Linked DNA regions of Lonchura striata. The protein of the gene in region 3 binds, or shares a complex with, the protein of the main gene of each other region. Links are inferred from orthologs where the notes say so. Each region holds a gene or a part of one and is shown on either strand. Other genes may lie near its edges. The genes, in order: KLHL2, KLHL3 and WNK4.

Region 1 (7,610 bases), on a different chromosome or scaffold from region 3:
ATCATCGTAAGCTCAATGAATTTTACAGAATGAATCTTATCCCTTCAGCTATTTTCATTAAGTATGTGTCATTCTTAGTGCTCCAGCACTCCATACAGGAAAAAAAATGCTAAAAAAGACAAAATATTTTAATCCATGCTTAATTGTATTTCACTGATTTTGGTCACAGTACAATTTCTCTTTGATAGCATCTGCTTTGCTATTCCTTATTTCACAATCCCAATTTACATGTTTTATTTTTTCTCTCTCTGCCTACTCTCCAGTACATATTCCTCTGCAATCTGGTCCCTTTCTCAGTCTGCTGCATGTGCTTCCTTGCATTTCCTTTCCATATTACTTTTCAGTGTAATTCTTCTCAGCTGCATTGATGTCCTTAGCTTGATGGTTCTCTGAAATTTTAAATATTCCATGCTTCTGAAACAAGAAAAAGGAATCTCTTCCACTAGAGTGAGGCCTTTTAAAATTAGGCAATGCTGGATTAATGCTGATATTAATACTAGTGTTTAAGACAAAAGAAAGTAGTAATAGCTAGTGTCTGTGTTGAACTCAAGTCCTACCATGAATTCCACAAAGGTCCTTGTGGATTTGTTTAGATAGAGGGGCCTGGGCTGAATAAAGGTCTGCTGCGGGATGATTATGTTATTGAGTGTGAAATGCTTGGGGAAAAAAATGCGAGTGTGCCCTCATGTATTTTGGATAAATGCATACTTATCTTTACATAGATTTTGTACATAATTTACTCACAACTCAATTTAGTAGGATACAAATATAATGGATAATCTAAAAGCTAACAAAGTGAAGAAGCACATTGTTTTTCTGTTTGAAGCCACAGGAGTATGGAGAGGTACTTAAGTATTTGATTCTAGAGTCCTTCCTTTCCTCTTCCCTTTTCATGAAAAGAATCAGCAGCATGTCCTCATAAGCATTCTACCCAAATCCTTCAGAAGTTATGACTTCTGATATCTTAAACAAGAGCAAATGTTCTTATTTTCTGTCCTTTTTTGGAGATGTCTTCCTAACCTATATTTGTCAATTAAAAATAAGTAAGAACCTATATCAGTGTCCTCTGTGGCTAAACCTAAACCAGATTTCTTCTAACACATCAGTATAGAGCATGATCACTTAAACATGTTAATAAACCACCACATATGTATGCAGTCACATCGACTTTTACCAGGATTAGTTATTCTATTTGTAGGACCATAGAACTTGTGGGACTATCTTGTTAGCAAGCAGAGCTCTGCTAGCATAACTTCATTTTCACTGGATGCAATTCACTAATGGATAGTGTCGGAGTTTCAGTATCAGTAAAGTATTTCTAGTGTCAATAGAGCTGAAGGAATGTGTGATCCTAAGTAAGCATTGGCCACATTCCTTTGTAACTCACTAAAACAAGTGGGAAAGTACTAAGAATTATTACAGGGACAGCCTGAAACATGACAGGGAATTTTCTCAGTAAATGCAGTAATTTGAATTGCTGCAGCATAAACAAAAATGGCAGCTGTTTCATCAGAGATAAGATATATAGCCCATTTCCTTTCAAAACTACATACATACACCCACAGACATATATAAATAAGTTTTTTCTCTGAAAGTTCTTTTCTAAGAAGAGATATTGGATCAAGCAGAATCCCATAAAAATCTAGGCATTGTATTTAAAGGATGTGTTTCCTCATGGTTAGAGATATAAGTTGTTTTGCCATAACCACATAATGTATTTTGGATGAAGCAGTTTTTGCTTCGATTCCTCTTGAAATTACTGAATTACAAAGATATAATTTTCAGGAAAAAAAATTGAACTTTGCCCTATTTGTTTCTTTCTGATGCTCTGCATCACAGAAATTAACTGAACTAATGTTGAACATTTGGCTCTGAAGCCAAAACAATACTGCAAGAAAAGGAGAGAAGTCACAGGTTGGCAATGTTTAATGTTAAGAATAAATATTTGTACTGGTTTTGGTTGAGGTAGAGTTAATTTTCTTCACAGTGATTGGCATGGACCTGTGTCTTGGATTTGTGCTGAACAGAGTTGATAACACAGAGATGTTTTTGTTATTGCTAAGCAGGTCTTACACAGACCCAAGGCCATTTCTGCTTTTGTACAGCCAGGCTGGCGAGGAAGTTGACAGTGCATGGGAGGTTGGGAGGAGACACAGCCAGGACAGGTGGCCCCAACTGACCAAAAGGACATTCCCACACCATGTGACATCATGCTCAGCATACAAAGTGGGGAGAAGGAGGAGGAAGGGGAGAATATTTGGAGGGATGGTGTTTGTCTGCTCAATAACCCTTATGACAGGGCCCTGCTCTCCTGGATGGCTGAACACCTGCCTGCCCATGGGAAGCAGTGATTTAATTCCTTTATTTGCTTTGTTTGTGTGTGCAGCTTCTGCTTTCCCTGTTAAACTCTCTTAATGTCAACCCATAAGTTCTCTACCTTTTAGCCTTCTGATTTTGTCCCCAGTCTTACTGTTGGGGGAGCAAGCAAGTGGCTGCCTGGGGTGTGGCTCCTGACTGGGGTTAAACAACAACAACAATAACATTGCTAAACAGTCCTGCAGTGTTAGCATGGAGCAGAATCTGCACAATCTGCAGCTGCCCACCTACTTGTGCAAAGAGTGTACAAAGCCCCTCGGCTTCCAGACCAGCTCACAAGTTTACAATAGTCTACCATGGACCCTTAAACACACCACAGTAGAATTCACTTAGGTCTTATGGATCAGTAGAAGCTGGGATCCTTGTCTTACGAAGTGATGTGTCCAGGAGTTTACTCTAAATTACAGAAATTTGAAAGTGTGATGTGACAGTCATCATCCACTCTCAGATCTACGCAGGCCATATCTGCTTATGAACTCAGACCTTGGACATGCTGTGCTACGTGGAGCCAGCTGAATTTTAAACCTCCATTTCAGAGAGCATTATTTCTGGCTGGCTCCTTTGGAGCAGACTTCCCTGCAAGCAGGTTTTGTTGTGTATTTAAATCTTTAGCAAGTACCTTGTCTTCTCCAATACAACCCAGAGGCAAACTTAGTTGTCTCTTGAGAAGAGATAAATTCAGTAGTTACAAAGCACAGACTTCATAAAAACCGGCACTGCCAACTGTGATTATTTAATTTAGAAAAACCTCCAGTGGTAACCCATTGAAAAAATGTTGAAGTGTTCCCAAATCAAGCATTGCTGTAGTTAAAGAGGATTGGTAAACTGAGAAAACAAAAATGGCATTTTCCTAGTGAGGAATATTACTGGAAATTAGCAAAAATGAAAATAACAGAATAAAGTACATTTAGTTTTAATAACCAGTGATTTTATTAGAAACAATGGTGAAGGCTTTCAGCATCCATCCGTAAGTCTTCACCCAAAACACTCCTGCCATTTTGTTTTGTGTCTTATTTGAAATACGCTGCCCTAAACTTATCTCACTCTTAGAAAAACAGTGCTGATCAGTTATTATTAGATTTATTCATTGAGAGATACTATTCCAATTTAAAATCTTTTACTCAGTGAAGAAGCATTTTAATTTTACAGACATAACCAGATTTAAATATCTGAATTGTGTTCAGCCTGCTAAATCCACTTTCCACTACCTGATTCTTCAAAGATTTGGAAGCAATTTACAGATGTTTAAATACAGTAAATTCTTCTCTAGTGCCCCAAGTCAGAAGTTGCTAAATGTAGCATTCTTGATCATTACTTCAATTAGTGTTGTTTACAGAAACAGGTTTGAAATAGATGCCTGTTCATTTTCCTTTTTGCCATTTTGCATCACAGAGGCTACTTCAGCAAACACTGAAGCACAACTCAAGTACTTAATGATCAACGTTAGCAATGTTTGCAAAACACAGGAGGCCAGGTGTTTTGAGCGGCAGTGCTCCTGCTGGACTCGATCAAATAAAAGACTACGACATTCAGCAGGTCACAGCGAACTAGACCCTGCTCAACTCCTCCGTCCCGACGCAGTTCTGCTCTTCCCTTCGGCCCCTGCTCGAGCAGAAACCACCTGCACGACCTGGTGTCGGGCCAGCTCCTTGGCTGGCCTGCCAAGGTGCCCATGTTCCTCATGGAGTGCCCCTGCTGGTGGATTTTCTTACTAAGGAGACCTGGGACTGCTTTAATTGTTTTTCCCCGGTGGGACAGAGCACCTGCGTGTCCCCACGCCGGCGCCCCAAGCCAGCCTCGCCGGCGCTGAGGCCACGCTGGCCCGAGCGGCCCGCGGGACGTGTCGCTGCGCAGGGCGGCTCCGGGCGTCTCTCCGGCCTGCCCTGAGCCAGCGCTTTCCCGGGAAGCGGGAGACGCGCACAGGGCGCTAGACCCTGGCTCATCCCACTTGGGGGCCACGCTTCTTTCAGCAAGGGCAGCGGCGTCTCACCCCCCTTCCTAAAGCCCCTGGGCCGCGGCTGTCCCCCCTCCAGGGGGAAGGCTCCGGCGGGGCGGCCCCAGCCCACCGCGGGCTCCGCAGCCCCGGCCGCACCGCAGCCCCGGCCCCACCGCAGCGCACCCCGCGCGGGCCGGGCCGGGCCCGCGGCCGCCGCGCCTGCGCACGGCGGCCCGTCCCCGCCGCGCCCTCCCGCGGGCGGGCACCCGGAAGCCGCAGCGCCGGCGGCTCCCGGCGGCGGCGGGGCTCGGCCGGGCGGGCGCAGCCGCTCCCCGCTCCCCGCACCAGCGGCGGGGCAGCGCAGCTGGCATGGTGCTGGCGGCAGCTCGCCGCGCCCGCGTTGCACGGAGGAAGCCCGAGCGGAGCCGCGATGGAGATGCTGCTGCCGCCCGTGTGAGTGCGGCGGCGGCGGCGGGGCGGGCGGGGAGGCAGCCGGGCGCCCGGAGCTCGCCGGGACGGCGGCGCGGAGCGGAGCTGTGCGGTCCGTGGGCTGGGGCGGCGGGTCGGGCCCGGCGGCGCAGCAGCGAGCGGAGGTGCTCGCAGCTCGGGCGGGCCCCATCGTGGGGAGCGGTGCCTGCGGATGGGGGACGCTCGGAGCCGGCAGCGGGGCAGCGCCGGCGGGAGGGTCGTGTCGGCGACCTGATGGCGGAGCCGGTGCCCGGCTGGCCAGCTGCCCCGGCCAGCGCGGCCGCCCGGCGCTCGGAGATGCCCGGTTGTGCCGCTGCGGTGCCGGCCGCGGGCGGGGGAGCGGGCGCGGAGCTCCCGCGGGCGGGCTGCGCTGCCGGCACCCCCGCCCCGCCGCCTTCCCCTGTGCCTTCCACCTTGTGGGGACAGGCGGGCTTTTTCTCCCTCCTCCCCCTCACTCCTTCTGCTTCCTCCATATGCGGTCCCAAATTATTCCTTGTTTGACTCAGCAGTCGTGCTTATCTCACTCCCGGTTTTCTGGTTATTTAGTTAAGCATCTCTTTTAGTGGCAGTGCCCAGGCGATGCACTCCAGGCAGCCATCTCCAGCTGCACCTCAGCTGGCCTCCCCAGTCCTTTCACAGGCTCCGGTTCAGTGCTACTTCATCCTTTGCCTTCGGTAGGTGGATTTCAGGCGTGCTGTGCTTAAGGTTCTTGAGAACAAACCGAAGGAAACCAGTTACAGACAGCTCTGACCCAGCTGGCAAAATGGTAAGAGAGACCCCAGTACTTCAGGCAGACTGGCACTTCCCAAAACAGAAGGAGTATGACTGATGGTTTTGTAGGGTTCATTACCTTAAAACAAAGTAACCCTTTGTGACAAACTAATGAATTCGGTGAATTAATTTACGCTTCATATGAACTCCTCCATCTAATCCAGGGTGCTTGGCAGCTCTTTATGGACAACTTGATCACTTTTTTTTCCTTGCATAGCTGTATTTGATGTGTACACAGCCTGTATATGTATGCAACTAAATAGACATCAGTAGCTGATGCATTGTTTTGGGATGTAGAAAGTTGCAATGAAAGTGTTCTATCTTGGACTTGATAGATCGGTGGTATAATTAAAAGCTGGATCTCTTCCTTATAGGTGTTTGGTGTTCTGAATATTTTCTGCAGTCATTGATTTCTGTCTATAATTTTTTGGAATTCTGATCACAACATATGTCACATAATGTAGAAAAGTAACCTTTGGTCTAAAGGAGTTTGCTAGACAGAATGTAATTTTTTTTTTTTTTTTTTTTTAACCTCTGTGAAGTAGCATATGTGTGTGCTGAATAGCATGTAACTTGTGTGGGGTTTTTTTTGATGGATGCAGAATTCCTGTCTGTAATTTGTCCTTTTTCATTAATTAATTGTATACTTTTCGAAATTGAACATGGAACTTTTGATTCATATCAGTTTCATGATACACTGTAGTAAGTTGATAGTACTTAGAGTTCTGTGGCTGGATGTTATTTGGTTAGTTTTATGGAAACTTTTTACATTCCTTTGTTAATTGATGCAATTTTGTATTTCTTTGCTCCAAAATTTTGTAGCTACTTTTGGGATAATAAAAAATAAAGTCAGCTACTTGGCTTTGCACTATTGCAGTGCACAGAACTTAGAGTTCTAGGTTAAAATCTTAAATTATTGTTGGATTTTTTTTTTTAAGTTCATTAGACATGCCCAATTAAAAAGTTTCAGGTATAGTAGAAGAGAGGTTGCAATTATGTGAGTCACTGAATATGTTCAGTTTGAGTGTGCTTACCTAATGCTGGCAAGGCTGAATTTTCATTTGCAGTCAGATTGTTGATGTCCCAGGGCTTGTGGCCCCACCAAATGACTTTTCAGTGCCTTTGCTTATTTTCAGCTTAGAGGTTCAGGAATACAGTTAAAATACTGTAGAATCAAGCATCACTGATGCTAAGCATTTTCTAAGTGCTACAGCAACACAGTTTGCTTTGTAAGAACAACATTGTGACTGTAAGCAGGAAACTCATTGATTTGGTTTGGCATGAAAGGCCTGCTTGCTGTTTGGACAGTCCAAGTGACTGAGGAGTGTATATGGTAATTTTTCTAGGGAAGTTAGGGTATGTAGAACTTGGGGTATGTCTTACAGAAAGAATGAATTGTAGCTAGAGGCAATGATTTTTCACACTGCCTAGTTCTTCTCTTGCTGTTTGGAGTGGGGTTTTGAGAGTAACAAAAATTAAGAGGCTGGTCATTTATGTACATTATGGTTTTCAAAACATCGAGTGCATTTACAAAAGTACACAACTTTTCTGTCACCCGTGTCTTATGCTGTGGCTAGGGAAAGCCTGGATAATTACAGTAGTCATTTTGTGGTCTTCCTGTCAGAGAAGAACTAGGAAACAGTAACTGAGGTCCTGATAGAAGGGCAGAAAGGAGCTCTTACCTGACAGTGAAGGCATGAAGAGGCTGGGGTGACGGTTGCTGCGTCTGCCATTGATCTATATGGGCACTAGGAGAAAAGTTCCCAAAACTCTTAATTCTTCTCTCACTTCAGAGCTTATTGGAAATATTCTAGACTATTTCTCCACTAAATAAGATAATATTCACAAAACCAGAAAACATCTTCATGTTTTCTGTAGTGTAGATTATTGCTAGCCTCTCACAATGTCACTAGTATTAGTCACCAACTTACTACTTCTACAGGAATTCTACCTATTCCTCTACACCTTTGGTAACAGGGAAACTAAAATTGCTTGGAGTAAAGAAGCAATTTCAAATGCAAATCTTCTCCCCAAGATGAAGGTGAACAAAATAAGAAGT
Region 2 (7,022 bases), on a different chromosome or scaffold from region 3:
TTATGGCCAATAGTTTTATTCCTTTAGTCAGGCAGACACAGTAAAGAAAACATGAAATGGCATAGTTATAAAAATCTCTATTTCTGAATTTGTCTTTAGGTACATACAAAGACATTAAAAAAAAAGTGATTGAAGGGATCCACATGTTGAACTGGGTTTTGGGAGGATTTCAGAGAAATGTATTATCATTAAAACATATGGGAGGCAGAGTAATGGAAAGGATTATTTTTCTTTTAATAGCAATATTATTTTCCTATTTTGTTGATTTTTTTTCAGTGCCTAGGTCAACATGGAGACATTAGCTTAGGAAAACACACAATTGGCATACAGCAGATCCCTAAAAGGGTTTTCATATCAAAGGAGACCTCAGGGGGAAAGAAGACTTTGGGAACTAGTGAGAAGAAAAGTCTTTGCTGACACTAATGGAAACAACATGAAATAACTCAAATATGACAATACTATTTGCTTTCAAAGACAAATATTGTATTTCTCAAACAGATACCACAGACTACCTTAGCTTGAATATAAAACCACAGGTGTTTTAATATTTTAACAAAAAAAAAAAAAAAAAAACATTCCAGAGGGTTTTTTTCTATTCAAACTCAAAAACATCTTGCAAATTCAGAACCAGAGTATCATGCCTAACTGTAAGCCTTATGCAATTTCTCCATAAAATAGAAGTACCGTCATTTTACTCTCAGCACAATAAAAGAAAAGCAGGACTCTGAAATACTTTAGTGCCACATGTGAATGTTTCAGGTTAAATCTCCCTTGCCCTCAGGTATTTCTGCTCATGTGCAATGCCACGGGCACATGATACCACTGAACATCCTGGGTGTGAAAGTTAACAGGATATTTGAGTCTGGGCAGGCTCGGGACCAGTCAGAGGTGAAGTGAGCACCAACAACACGGATCCTCACTGACCACAGAAATGGAAAGTGCAATAATATTAAAAACCAGGGGGAACTCTGCCATAAGGAAATCCACCAAGTATAAAATTTGAGGACCAATCTGCCCAACACAGATGTGAGTTGAAATGTGGGGCAAAAGCACAGCAACAAGCCCAGACCGAGTCCACGGTTTTGCTCACCCAGCAAAGTCATTTTCAAACACCTCCTCCCAGGACTTGCTCCCAGCAGCCAAAGCAGCCCCACACACACTGTGCCCTTTTGAACCAGAAAGCAGGTGAATATTTCCCACTTTTCTTGCCAAGAATCAAATCCCACATCATTACTGCCCACAATCAGTTCAGGACCACCTTCCTCTTCTCAAAAACTAGAAATGAAAGCAGGAACTTGGGTAATCATTCCTCGCTTCCAGAGGCAGAGAACATGCTGATGGGGATAGTCCTTCATGCCCTAAAAACAGATGGTCTGGAAAAAAAAGGGTAAGGTAAAACAGTCCAGGTATTTTTCAGTGGCTTTTTCACTGTTCTATCCACAGAAAAAGGCCTCCAATCAAAATAACACCATTGCTGGTAGGCATCAAAAAAAAAAGTAACAAACAACTGTGCCAAGGATGAGCCCAGTCTGGGGTATCAAAACAGCTCTGTTCTACTTCCTCAAACACAGGCTCATTTATACAAATAAAGAAAAAAAAAAAAAAAAGGAAATCCCATTCCATGAGCTGGCATCTAGAATTACAAACAAAGATTTCAAGGCACTTGAAATTAATTAATATTTGGATGAATGTTCAGAGGTGACTGTCCGCACCATTTTGGGAAGCAGAAGCCCTACAATGAGAAATGTGGCAGGATGAAAGGTTTTGCACATTAAATACACAAAAAATTGCAACCCTTGAGTCACAGAAGGGTAGAAAGCTGCCCTTTGGAGCTTGGAAAACAACTCCTACAGGCTGCTGTGAATGTTTTCCCTCAACAGAAGGAAGATTTCCAGAATTTGGGGGTTGACTCCAGCTTAATTTTCTAATGTATCATATTTAAACAAAACTCCTGTCAAGCCCTGATATTTAGTCTTACCAGCAGTCAAGCCCCCTCTCTGTTCCCCCACCCCCGGCAAGGTCACCAGCACAAAAGAAAGCACTCAGCATATCCTGTTCTTAAAAAATATTGTAAAAAAAACCCAGACCAGTTTAATGCTTAGTTTGAAGAAGCACAAGTAGCTTCTGGTGTGCAAAAGGCACCTGACAGAAGGGAGTAATGAGGGCAGAGGCAAAACACTGAACATCTCTCTGGCATCCACGAGGTCCCTGCGCAGAATAATATCTTTTATGGGTTCAGTGGACATTAGTAAACACTTCTTCACGCAGGCTGTGGAGCAAACCAGCTGCCTGGCAGCAATTGAAGCCTACGGGGCCCGGCTGCCGTGCGCGGGATGCCCTGCACTGCCCTGACACCGCACAGCGCCCGGCTTCCACACACGCCGGCAGGAAAACCGACCCCAAAGGATCCACGGACGATGTGGATTTTCACTCGTGACTCAGAAAAGCAGCGAATATCAGCGAGTCTGCCTTGAGCGGAATGCCGAAGTCGGCTGCCTGAGGCTCCAGGCGTAGGCAGGGCACTCACAAGCCCAGCACGTTGTGCCGGCGGGGCAGCTTCCCACCCCCTGCCCGGCATCCCACCCCTCTGTCCGGCATCCCACCCCCCTGCCCGGCATCCCACCCCTCTGTCCGGCATCCCACCCCCCTGCCCGGCACCTCCATTTCAGCGAGCACCCCCCGACCTGCCTCCCTCACGTCCTCAATCACATCCCAAACACATCCCACGGAAAGCCCTCCGGTGCCTCGCTGCGGGGCGAAGCCGCCTGTCACCATGACATTGCAACATCCACGAGCATTGCGGGCGCCCGTGGCAGGAGGCATTCCTGCCCGCAGCCGCGCCCCGCATTCCTGCGCACGGCCCCGCACGGCCGGCACCCCGGGGAAGGAAGGGCATCCCCATCCCGCACGCTCCGGGCGGACACAAAGGCTGGCGGCGGTACCCACCTCTCCTCCTCCATCGTGCGGGGCGGCGGCGGGGCCGGCTCAGCGCCCCGGGCCCGGCATGGCTGCGAGCGGCCGCCGCCGCTTCCTGCGGGAGCGGAGCGCTGCGTGCCGGCGCGCCCCGCCGCACCGACTGCCGCGGCCGCCGCGCAGCCCCCTCCTCTCCCCTCCTCTCCCCTCCCCTCCTCTCCCCGGCGGGGCTGGCGAGCGTCTCCGGGCAACGGCAGCACCGCCCCGCACCGCCCCGCACCGCCCCGCACCCGGCCCCGCTGCCGCGGCCAAATAGGTCAGGGCAGCCCCGGGCCGGGCCGGGCCAGCCCCGAGCGGGACCCGCCGGCCGCGGCACGGGCAGCGCCCGTCCCGCCGCCCGGGACTTGTCCCCGCGTGGCCCGAACGCTTCAGTCCCCGCCGTTTAGTGGCTGAACATCCCCGGTGCCGAGGTGAAGCCCCCGCACGGGGCACTGCAGGAGAGGAGAGGTGATGGTGAGGAAGGAGAGAGTCCCAGCCCTCTGAAAACTCCCCGCTCCCAATCAAGATCTTGCCCCCAATTCCTCAATTTATCAAAGCCTTGCTGTCCTTTATGCAGTCTATCAGGCCAAACACACCATGCATAGGCAATATGGGTCCCTCTCAACTGCAGGTGCTTTTTAGCCTAAAGCACTGAACTAAATTACATTTGTCATTTTTATTCCAATTGATACAGATGCACAGAGTTCTACAAAAATCTTTTTCCCCCCTCATTTTATTAAAAGATTTTTTCAGTTGTATTCTGCACCAGCGAGGCCTTAGAGGTTAATCATATTAAAGACAAGAAACACTTGCCTCCTTCATTACTCATCCATTCTCAAAATGTTCTTGTGCAAAAGGAAGAGATAACTAGAAGTATCAAGAGATTTCTCTTTGAAGATGCCATTTCATCTCTTTTGTAAATAAAATTACCTCACTCTTGTATATTTCTCCTCAAGCCATGTCCTCAGCCCAAGTTTTATATATCTTTTCAAAACCTATCAGCAATGATGATTGAACAGACGCTATTGTGCCTTCCACAGGAGGGTTTCAAAAGCTTGTTGAAAATCTTAACTACTCATCACCCAATTCTTCAGGTAAGAAAACTTAATAGACAACGTACCTGAAACTTAAAGGACTTTATCAAAGACACATGGGGATTGAGAGTCCTGCTATTTAAACTCCATTTGGCAGCCTACCCATAAACAAAAGAAATACAGATAAAGCCATGAAATCAAACCTCACAAAGAATTCAGGTAAAATTCCTTCATTTTCCCTAGAAAATACTGTTAAACTCTCAGTTTAAAACATGCATATCCTCGAGTACTTTCCCCATGTCCACTCTTACACTGTTGATGCACAACGTGCAAAACTGCAAGACACAAGTTCAAACCAGAGAAAAAGGAACTATATAAAATTAGTAGAATTTACCTCGGAAATGAGGGCTAGAGCTTGTTTCCTCTGAGTAAATCCCTCAGTAATTGTTAAAAGTCCAGATACAAAAGCAAGTCCTGAAACTGAGCTGCAAAGTCCCTGTGTATTTTTATTAACACAAAGTTTTTAAATAACAAAATATTAGGTTTTCACCTTAAAAATTTACATCTCACTCCAGTCAACCTGAGAGCTAAGCACCTAAATTGAATCAAACCAGCAATACCTTCTCATATGCTTTGCCCCACAGGCTTGTGTACCACTGAATTCTACAAATCCTGAAAGGTACAGTGACAGACAAGCAAAACAGTGAATAATCCTTGCTGGAGTGGGACAAAAGCATGTTCCAGTAGTCAGAGATTATCTTTACAGCAGCCTTGCAAAATAATAATGACTTGGTAACAATTCCAAGACAAAAACTTCTTGTTTGTTTTGAAGTACAAAGATTGGTATCTCGATAAAGCATTCAGCTAAATGGAATTAGTGACACCTGATGGGTGGAATTTTTCCAGCCTCTTTCAACAATTCCTAGTCTCAAGTAGTCAAAAATTACTCCTACATCTAATCTACCTTCCATCACTGAAAACCATATAACCAGTTCTCAGAGGAGAAAGGTCCCCAAAACACCTGTTCCAGCCAGTCCCACCATCCCTCAGCCCATCAAAACCTTTCCAGATTCCTGTGACAATTTTCAGATCTACAGCGAAAGACCAAAACCCCAATTCCAAGGAGCCACAGGGAGATGGGAGAGAAAAGCATTGCCAATGTCTCCACAGCAGTAAGGAATTTCTTCAATAAAAGTGGCATGAAGGGAGGGAATAAAAACAATCCCTACCAGTCTGGTCCAAAACTCTCTCCTGGCCCAAAATCCAGCAGCTGGTTTAATGCTGAGGTTATAAGGAAAGGACACCAAATGCTTACGAAAATTTAATTTTGTGAAGAGCCCCAGTACAGTCAGACAGCACCTTGTCAATGTCCACAGCCTCTGCAGAAGCCTGAAAGGTCACTTTGCCTCCCAAAAACCCAGCAGAAAGCAAATGGCATCAAATTGGGAAAAATCCTTCCTAGTTCTGCAAGGCAAACTGCAAGAGCTGTGAATCACTGGATCATCCAGCCTGGATACAGTGCAAGCAGTTCAGGAACACTTCACTCCCCTGTACATACCTGTTTCCAGGTATATACCAATGTTCAGGCTCCAGAGACCCATATCAAGCCATTTCCTATCTTTAGCAGCTCTCCTGCTTAGTTGCATAATATCTTTCACTAAATTATTCATTAACTTTCTTCAAAAATCTATGCTTTCAGCACTGAAGAGCTGGGAAAGGTGTAAATAAAACACTGTATTCACAGAAGCTTCTAAAGCTGCATCTTCACAGCCTAAATTATTTTTCATTCTGTTTTTTTTTAGAGATACAGATATTTAGATAAAAATATATGTTGATATATATAAACATATTTATTTTTTTCAATGCATATATTAGGCATATATATTTATCTTTGAGTGACCAAACTGATCTCACCCTGAAGCTGGTCCTGCTTTGAGGGTTCTTTGGACTAGATCATCTCCAGGAGTCCCTTCTAAATAAACTCCTTTTGTCATCCTAATTAAGTAGATACTCATTTAGATAGATCGGTATTTAGACCATATGATTTCTTGGAAAAGGTTCTGTAAGGATATTAAGATAAGAAAAGTAATATATAGGGTTATCTGCTGGAATAGTTGCCCTGGTAGCTCCCAGGCCAATTGCAGTCACTTGGTACTCAGGTACTGGCTCCCAAGGGGCCTGGAGATGGAGGTGCCTCAGCCGAGGAGTCCTGAGGGTATCTGCTGCCCAGCTGCTGCTAGAACTCAGTAACAAAACCAGACCAGCAGCTACAATTCACCTGCTGCAGCAGCTCCCAGGAATCCAAGTTCTCACAAGACTCAAAAGGATGCTCTGGGAGACCTCCCAGGTAAGGACCTTCCCAGGGCTGGAAGCAGGGCTGTTCTGGCAGCTGCAGCAGTCAGAGACTCGCACTGGAGCGCTGGTTTCTAAAGCAGCTGATTGTAGAGCAGGGGCTGGAGCAGCCAGGCCAGCATTCCCCCCGGGACGTGCATTCCGGCGGAGATGCTGCAGGAGCCACCAGCCTCTCCCGCGGCGCTCCGGGCTGTTGCCCTCTGCTGGCACACATCCCACTGCCGTGCTCCAGCTTCAGAACACTGTCTTCCTTTAGTCTTTTGTATAAATCACGATTCCTACAAAGAGCGGGATTATTGCAACAATTCATAACAACATTACCACCTTTAGGGCAACGACCCCTGACCATCTTCACCCCCATCTATGATTTCTGGGGCATGAGCCATTCCACTGCTCACCTACACAGCAGTCACCCACCAGCTGAAAATGCTCTTCCTGCTGCTCTCCTGACTCCTTCCTGGAGCATCAGTCACCTATGTCAGAGGCACACACTTCCTGCCCTGCAGTCATATTTATCAGAAATCTGCAGGAAGATTTTCAGATTGATTTTATTGTTTAGTGCTCAATGTGAAAAGAAAATCAGGAAGAAAGCTGTAAAAACAACTCTTGTGGGCACTGGAACAAAGGCCAGTATTCAGTTGACTAAATGCTACCAAGTTTCTCTGCCTCCTTAGAGACTCTGCA
Region 3 (7,735 bases):
ATTTACAGCTCGACCCCACTCTGGGCCTCTGGTTTCCTCCCTGCTTCCTCTTTCCCCACCGCCCGCAGCACCTAGGACAGAAATAGTGCCAGGCTAAAGCTGGAAAGCACAAACAGTGGGGCTGTGCACACGGGCGGGAGGGACAGACAGACGCTGCCTTCAGGACAGGGGACAGGGATGGGCAGGTCCCCCGAGGGGTCTCACAAGACAGGCAAAACCAACCTCTGCCTCCCGAGCTCTGAGGAGGGAAGGTCAGGGCAAGGACAGCAGGGAGAGCTGGGGTTGGGGACTGGGATCCATCACAGCACTGAACCAGGTTCTCTGGTGCAGAACAGGTCAGGCCTGAGGTTAAGTACTCATTTGGAATTGAAAGGTAATAGAAGGAGAACTGTGAAGTGCACACGACAAAGCTATTTTTAAAATAGCAGAACCACAACCATTTTTATTTGTGGTTCCAAATCCCGTATTTGTGTCACAGTGTCCAATTTTTGCACGATTGCAGAAAAAAAACAAACTTCTAAATGTCTGCATCTGTGCTCTTAGCCCCTTGTGGGACACAGATTTGGGTACAAGAGACAGTGGATAAAGAGCAGTCAGTGGAATTCAGCCAAACACTGGGTGGGGAGGGCAGGGGCAGGCACGGGTGGGAGCAGGGATGTGACTGCACTCCCGTGGGAGGGTGCAGGACCAGAGGGGTCAGGTCTGCACCCAGCACTATGGGATGCTCACAGGAGGGTCCCTGGCAGGAGCTCAGCCTGCACCCCAGCCTCTCCACAGCCACCCCCAGGGGACAAGTGAGTGGTTCTGCCACTCCTGCCTGGCTGGCTCGCAGGACCAGCAACGGGCCCAGCCTGTGCCTGCTGGACTGGAGCACTGGACTGGAACACGGAAGCATTTTGCTTCCCAGCTCCCTTTTCCCTTCCACCTGAGTGGTGCAGGCTCATCCCCTTGGCAGCCCCTCCAAGACAGCAGCACTGCCTGCAGGGAGGAGCAGGAACAAGACCTGCTGCCAGCCCTGCCAGCTGTGTGCCAGCCCCAGGGCAGGGGAGCTGGGCCACGGCTGGGCCATGGGGCTGAGACCCACAGGGAGGGACACGGAGCCAGCTGATGGGAAGTGCTGGGCACAACTGACTCATCCAGGGAGGAAGGTCCTGAGTTCACCAAGGAGAGCCTGTTCCAGTCAGTGGTTGCCACCTGAAGGGATGTAGGACTCAAGAGAGCTCAGGGGCCTTTGGACAGAGCTGTGAGGCTTTGTGAGAACTGAGCTGGCTCTGAACTGAACTCTCAACAACAGGAGCAATTGTGGAATCCATGGGGGTGAGGGGCAAATCTTCACCTTCCTCACTACGAGGCCATAGTCAGCCCTCTAAAAACCACCCACCAGTCTCTCAGGATCTCTTCTTGCTCTGCTGGGCTGCAGCCACTCCAAGGACCCAGCCCTGGCAGCCACCTGCAATTGCACTGAGCTTTTAGGAACAAGACAACAAACTCGAAAGACACGTTTTTCTGTGTCAACAAGGACTTGGACCTTCCCACCACAGCAGCCATCCCAGGCTCAGGAGCCTGAGGGAGACTTTGGACTTCACCAAAACCCCTCCCCGGGTGCTCCAAGGAGAAAAGGCAGCCCCACAGCACAGATCTCCCTGTGCACCTCCATGGACAAGATCAGGCCCATCAAAAGCACTTGAGTGAGCAAAGGCATTGTGGAGGCAACACTATCACCACTGCTCTCAGCATGCTGCTGTCAGGCTGCAGGACAGCCAAGGAGATGGAGGAGTGTGGCAGCAGAGAGGAGAACAGGGATGCTCCTCAGAGACCTGGAACCACAGGTCCAGCTCTTCCAGTATCCTGCCATCCCCTGGCAACATCACAGAAACCACTCACAGGTGGCCATGTACACGACTTCAGCCAAGGTCAAGCAGGCAGAAAGCACCAAGGTCGTGTTGTACCCTGTTCCCAGCTGACAGCCAGCCCCAGCTCGCTGCCCCAGGGCACACCAAGGGCTATCGGAGCAAACCTTGGAGGCAGCTCCAGCACAAGCACAGGCAGGCATGCAGAGAGGGCACTGCTGCCCTCGCTGTCCTCCTGGAGGGAAAGCTGCGAGCTGCTGAGCATCGGAAAGACAGTGGGATGGATGCTCAGCCCCAGATCCACCTGTTAAGTGCCAGAGCAGGGACTGGCATCAAGAACGTGGGCACATGCTCCATAGTGCAGGCAGCAAGAAAGCAAATGGAAAACAGCACGTGATGGGCAGGAGGGCCAGGAGCGGCGGCACTAAGCAGGCAGGAGTCTGCGTGCGGGCCAGCAGACCCACGAAGCACCGAGGCACGGGCAGTGATGGGCACAGCGCAGGGCAGAAGCAGAGGCTCGAGGGTGCCCGCCCTCGCCGGTACAGGCTCCAGCCCGGGAAGCGCCCCGCGGGTCCCACACAGCAGCAGGGTCAGGGCCGGGGAGGGCTGCACATGGAAACTGGACAGAAGAGGGTCCAGGTGCCTCTCTCCAGCCCCTTGCCCCGGGGCGGGGGTCTGTGGGTGCGGGCAGACAGGGGCGGAGGCGCTGGCAGGGGCCGTACCTGCAGCTCGCACCAGGCCACCTCCACGGTGGTCTCCGTGTCCAGCCCCTTGTAGACGGTCTTGAAGGAGCCGCGGCCGATCTCGATGTCGAACTTGAGGAACCGGCCGTCGGGGGAGGTGGCGACCGCCCGCGTCTCCACCTCCTCGCTCTCCGTCTCCTCGGGTTCCCGGAGCCCGGCAGCGGCCGGCGGCGGCGGCGGCGACCCCCCGCGCTCCCCGTCCGGCGCCGGGTACCCCAGCAGCTCCAGCTCGGCCGAGCTCCGCCGGTTGAAGCGGGAGGAAGCACGTCGGGAATCGCGCCCCGAGGACCGCCGGCTGCGGTTACGGTGCGGGGCCCGTCCGGTGAGCCCCGGAGCCGGCTCCGGCTCCGGCTGCGGCGCGGAGCCGCTGTCCGCCCGCTCCGCCTCGGGATGGGACATGGCTCCGGCAGCGGCGGGCTCGGCCGCCAGCATCGGCTCCGGCCCGGTGGGAGCGGCCGCTCCCGCGCAGCTTCGCACCCGTGGCCTCCGACACCCCGCAGCCAGCAGCGACCGCCGAGACCCGCTCCGGGCACCGGCCCCGGCACCGCCGCCGCCCCGCCCGGCGGCACCGCCCCCGCCCCGCCCGGGTCCGCCCCCGAGCGACCGCCGCCCCCCGCCCGCGCTGCGCCACCGGCCCCGCGCCGGGCAGGGGCACCGCACCGGCACCGCACCGGGCACGGCCCCGGGACGGCGCCCAGCTGCAGCTGCGGACACGGGCTGCGAGCGGGGCCCCGCGCCCCGGCACCGCTCCCGAGCACCCGGGATGTCCCCTCCCAGCCGGGGGTCACCGCCTGGCGCCCACCGGGTCCGCGCTGTCCCCGGGGCTCCTCGCAGTCCCCTCCCCGCAGGACAGCCCCGTCCCTGCCGCCGCCCCCGCGGGGCTCCGGGGCTGCTGTGACTAACGCAGGAATGTCCCCGGTTCAGACATTTCCTCGGAGTTTCTGAGCCTGGACCCGGAGCAGCGTGTGCTGGAGCAGCGGAGAGCCGCTGCCGGGACGCCGGTTCCCCCCCAGACAATCCCGCTCGGGTTCACTGCGGTCCGAAATCCTGAAATTAGGGTCACGCAAATAGGAAGAGTCGAAGGTGTGTGTCAGCCCCGCGGGAGCCAACAGCCGGACAAGAGCGTGTTGTCTCTCCAGGCTGAAGGAGAAGGTTGTTCTGCCGGTGAGGCTGTTTACATAAAACACAAAGCAATTGAGGCCACCGCAGATTTCTTTTCCCTGAGGCCAGATTGTTTCTACTCAACGATACCGGAAACATTAAGGAGTGGATCGAAAAGGGAACGCAGTCGTGGTCTCCCAAACGCCAAGCTGGCACCCGCAGGGTGATGCCGGGTGACTGCGGTCAGCAGCTCGGCTGTGGCCACGTCCCGCACGGCTGCTCCCCACAAATCCCCGCTGGGGCGGGGACAAGAGGGAGGGACAAGTATTTAATGAAATGTTCCTGGCCGACCTGCGTCTCGCTGATCTCTGCTCTGCTAACCCCACCCGACCCACCTCCTCCTGCCCCAGGAGACAGGTACCTCCTTCCCAACAAGGAGTTTGATCGATGCCACCCTGCCAAGAGCTGCTGGAGCAGAACTGGCCGGAGAGCAGGGAGCAGCAACCACATCCCGACTCAGCCCTGCACTCCTTGGAGCATGTCAGGGGCTTGGTCCCAGGTGAAGAAGCAGCGCTGGCAGAACACCGTGTCCAGCCCCTGCAGGGCTGTGCCTGCTGCTGGGGCACCGGGAGCCCGTGGCCACTGGAGCCAAAAAGCCAAGACTGAGAGGCCACAGGTGCAGTGCTTGCACTGGCCCTGCCATGGGTGACTCTTGGGTTGTAAGATGCAACATGGCTTGGCTCAGCTCTGTTAAACAATGCTCTTTGTTCAGGTGAGCCTTACCCAGAACCTTCTGAGCATGGCCAGACAGTGGGGCAAGCTGCTCGAGGCCCTCTTGGTTGACTCTGGCTGCCCCCACACAGAGGTCCCTGCCAGGGCCCATGCACTGCTCAGGCTGGCAGGGAGCCCTGCTTCTCCAACAGGAGACACAGAGCCAGGCAGGGACCTCAGTTTGTCCCCGGCAGGCTCATATCTCCTTATCAAGGGTTTCCATCGTGAAACAAAATGCCTTGGAAGATCCCAGAGGAGCAGGGGAGTATCCCGGTCCAGTGAGGCCCCTGCAGACAGGGGAGGAAATTAGGGGAGAAGTTTGCTCCAAGTGCTCCCCTCCCACACCTCCCTTGTGAGTGGTCTGAGAAATTCCCTAAATGATCTCTCCAAATGCCACTCCACACCAGAAGTTGGTAGAGAGGTGGCAGCTCGGGCAGGGGAACAGATCCTCTCCTGACCTGGCCAGGAACACCAATCTGCAGCCAGCTTGGCCTGAAACCAGAAGGCTCCTGTTCCACAATCAGGCGCCCACTGCAGCTCCCCAGCATTATCAGGGTGACATTTCTGGGCTGCAGGTGCCAGTGCCAGGCTTCACTTTGAGGAACCGCCACAATCAGGGAACATAACCCATTTCTCGCCTACATTTGGCTGCCAGGAGTACAAGGCACTGTGTAATCACCCTCCTCAGAATTAGATCATGAATCAAAGCCCTGCTCAGCTCCAGGCTCCGCCAAGCCCTGCCAGGAATTGTCCATTCTGACCCCAGAGCTTGGGGCAGGATCACAGAGGGGCCAGGATGGGTCTGGACAAAGGGGATGCACAGCTGGGGCTGCAGAGCACAGGGTGCCTGTCCTGGGATGCTCCAGGGACACCCAGGGCTTATTTCACTGTTACCTTCACCACCCCATACCCACGGGACCTTCTCTCTCTCACTCTAACTCATGTGAGTTCAGGGAGGCAGCGATGGCACTGAAACCTCAGCTGTGGCTGTAACCCTGGGCAGATCACTGCAGAGGATTTCCTCAGCCCAGAGGCACAGATGGGACCTGCCTGCACGTTTTTCCCAACATATAAAGTTATCAAACTGAAACAGTTCCTGCTCCTAAGCAGCTGCATTAAAGAAAATCTTTCTCAGAATCTTTCCTCCTTGACCAGTGGGATCTGAGTGTGCCCAGCCTGATAGTGCCTTATCTTGGCACCAGCCCCTCTGAGCTCTGCCTCACCCTGGCCAGCGAGCCCTAATCACCGTGGCCAGATGTGGCAAGGGCCTCTGAGGGGCCACAGGCTGGAGGGGGGGGTTGTACTAGCCACCCCCACCCCCCCAAAACCACCCTGAGCCACCTCCTCCAGCGAGCCCCTCCCCAGGGCTGTGTGGCTGGGCTGGACAGCACTTCACAGAGGGACATCTGCTCCCTCCAGGCTGGCAGCAGCTCTGCCACTCTCAGGACCCATCCCACGGCCTCAGCAGGGACACCCTGGCCTCAGCAGGGACACCCTGGCCTCAGCAGGGACACCTCTCTGCAGCAGCCCTGCCCAGCCCAGGGAAGCTGATCCCACAGGTCCTCACAGGCATGGCTGGATGTGGCCTCTGGTAACCAGAGCAGAGGGTGTGGAAAAGGAATTTTATACAATGTCCACTCTGGAAAGGGGACGTACTCTTCCTCCTCCTTCTCCCCCCCCCCAACTAAGTAAGCAACTAAATAGGAAGCTGAAAAAGAGACGGGAATTGCTGCCAGGAGTGCCTTGGAATGAAAAGCTGGTTTTAGGCTTATCTAATGTCACATCAGCCATTTCCTAAGAAGGGAGCAAATTTAATTAAGAACACAGACTCCCTCAAGGACAGCCAGGTTACATACAGCACTCCCAGCCTGGAACACAGTGCTGGGAGGTCAGCATCGTGCACACAGGCAGTGAGAACAGACACTCCAGCCCGGCTGCTGAAGGATCATTGTTTGGGATCAAAGGCAGACACCTTCAGGCACAGCACCCTGGCTCCCTGCAGGGCTACAGGAGCAGCCAGGGAGGGAAGGGGCAATGCAGGTGGCATGGGGAGGAAAGCAGAGGCAGATCTTGGACATGGAAACAAACCCAGGGCAGACACTGGGAGCACATGAATCCTACACAGAGACTTTGGTGGCTGCAGACAGAGAGGATGATCCCTGATCAAGCAGAGGCTGTGCCAGTTTTGTGGGGACAGATGCACTGCAGGGCTCATGGCACAGCCTCTGCTGCTGGGTTTGCTCAGAACCCTCAGTGGCAGGACCATGACAGAGCTCCCAGGGGTGATGGTCCTCAGAAAGGAGACCCCACCAGCCCATCATGTCAGTGACTCAGGAGCATTGCTGGTGCCTTTGTTCAGCACAGAAGTGCTGGCACTCAGGAATTCCCCCACAGCACTGCTGAGCCTGGCATGGAGAGGAAGCCTGGGCTCCTGCCACAGTTCCAGAGCAATGTGCCCACACCAGGGCAGCACATCCCACCAAGTGTACAGGTCAACGGGCTCCTGCTACAGAACAAATTTTCACATTTCACAGCCCCTAGACTCCAGCATCTCACCTACACTGAGAATTCCCCCATGCTGACATCAGCTGTCAGGAGCAGGTGAGCCAGTGCCAGGTTGCCCCAAGGGCAGGGAATGCCAGACAGGGGCAGCCTGTGGCGTGCAAGTGCCATCTGCTCTGCTGGACCCCCAGACTGACCACACTGGTCTGACCTGAGGTCACTCCAGCCTGCCCCCAACCTCTGCCAGTGACATACAGACAACGATCAGGGAAAGGTGACCCTGCCCCAGCACAGCCATCTGCTTCCCCAGGGCTGACAGGGTCAGCAACTGCACCTGGCCACAGCTTCTGACAAGTTGGGGACTTTGTTATCAGCACTGAGAGCCTAAAGCTCTCCGAGCCACAGTGGTACAGAGCTTACCCCATCACCTCTGCACAAACCCAGGGGCTTCCAGCAGGCTGCACATGCAAATTTAAAGTAAATGTTGTCCTGAGAAGGGCAGCAAGGGTCCCCTTCTCCTTTATTCTTGTGGTGTTTCCCACCCTGGAACCACTGCATTTCCCTGGGGCAGCAAGGAAATATGACTGAAGGACAAAAATCTGGTACGCTGCTCTGTTTTGTCTCTGATGGAAAAATAAAGATAGATGAAAACAGCCAGGCTGCTCTATAAATACATCTCATTTTAATCACCTGAAATTAGTTCCCTGGCTTCCCCCAGCCTGCTTGGCAGCAAGTGCATTTCCTTCTGCCACTGAGGGCTTCCACAGC

Evidence for each region.
Region 1: the proteins of WNK4 (region 3) and KLHL2 are in contact, whole or in part, in a crystal structure (PDB 4CHB), measured with the Homo sapiens proteins. The link is inferred for Lonchura striata from reciprocal best matches to the Homo sapiens genes WNK4 and KLHL2. Residues at the interface, in NP_115763.2 of Homo sapiens: Glu557, Pro558, Glu559, Glu560, Pro561, Glu562, Ala563, Asp564, Gln565; in NP_009177.3 of Homo sapiens: Arg345, Phe361, Gly363, Ser364, Leu365, Arg366, Thr392, Phe408, Gly410, Ser411, Thr412, Gly413, Ser438, Ser439, Tyr455, Ser487, His504, Arg534, Tyr583.
Region 2: the proteins of WNK4 (region 3) and KLHL3 are in contact, whole or in part, in a crystal structure (PDB 4CH9), measured with the Homo sapiens proteins. The link is inferred for Lonchura striata from reciprocal best matches to the Homo sapiens genes WNK4 and KLHL3. Residues at the interface, in NP_115763.2 of Homo sapiens: Glu557, Pro558, Glu559, Glu560, Pro561, Glu562, Ala563, Asp564, Gln565; in NP_059111.2 of Homo sapiens: Arg339, Phe355, Gly357, Ser358, Leu359, Arg360, Thr386, Phe402, Gly404, Gly407, Ser432, Tyr449, Gly451, Ser481, His498, Arg528, Tyr577.

What each region holds. Positions count from the first base shown.
Region 1 is NC_134606.1:38,848,191-38,855,800, reverse strand, and holds the start of KLHL2 (kelch-like protein 2), read left to right. Parts: upstream 1-4,602; 5' UTR 4,603-4,742; coding exon 4,743-4,765; intron 4,766-7,610. UniProt on the Homo sapiens protein: Substrate-specific adapter of a BCR (BTB-CUL3-RBX1) E3 ubiquitin ligase complex that mediates the ubiquitination of target proteins, such as NPTXR, WNK1, WNK3 and WNK4, leading most often to their proteasomal degradation.
Region 2 is NC_134617.1:7,838,145-7,845,166, reverse strand, and holds the start of KLHL3 (kelch-like protein 3), read right to left. Parts: upstream 3,054-7,022; 5' UTR 2,961-3,053; coding exon 2,947-2,960; intron 1-2,946. UniProt on the Homo sapiens protein: Substrate-specific adapter of a BCR (BTB-CUL3-RBX1) E3 ubiquitin ligase complex that acts as a regulator of ion transport in the distal nephron.
Region 3 is NC_134627.1:6,218,666-6,226,400, forward strand, and holds the start of WNK4 (serine/threonine-protein kinase WNK4), read right to left. Parts: upstream 3,041-7,735; 5' UTR 3,026-3,040; coding exon 2,573-3,025; intron 1-2,572. UniProt on the Homo sapiens protein: Serine/threonine-protein kinase component of the WNK4-SPAK/OSR1 kinase cascade, which acts as a key regulator of ion transport in the distal nephron and blood pressure.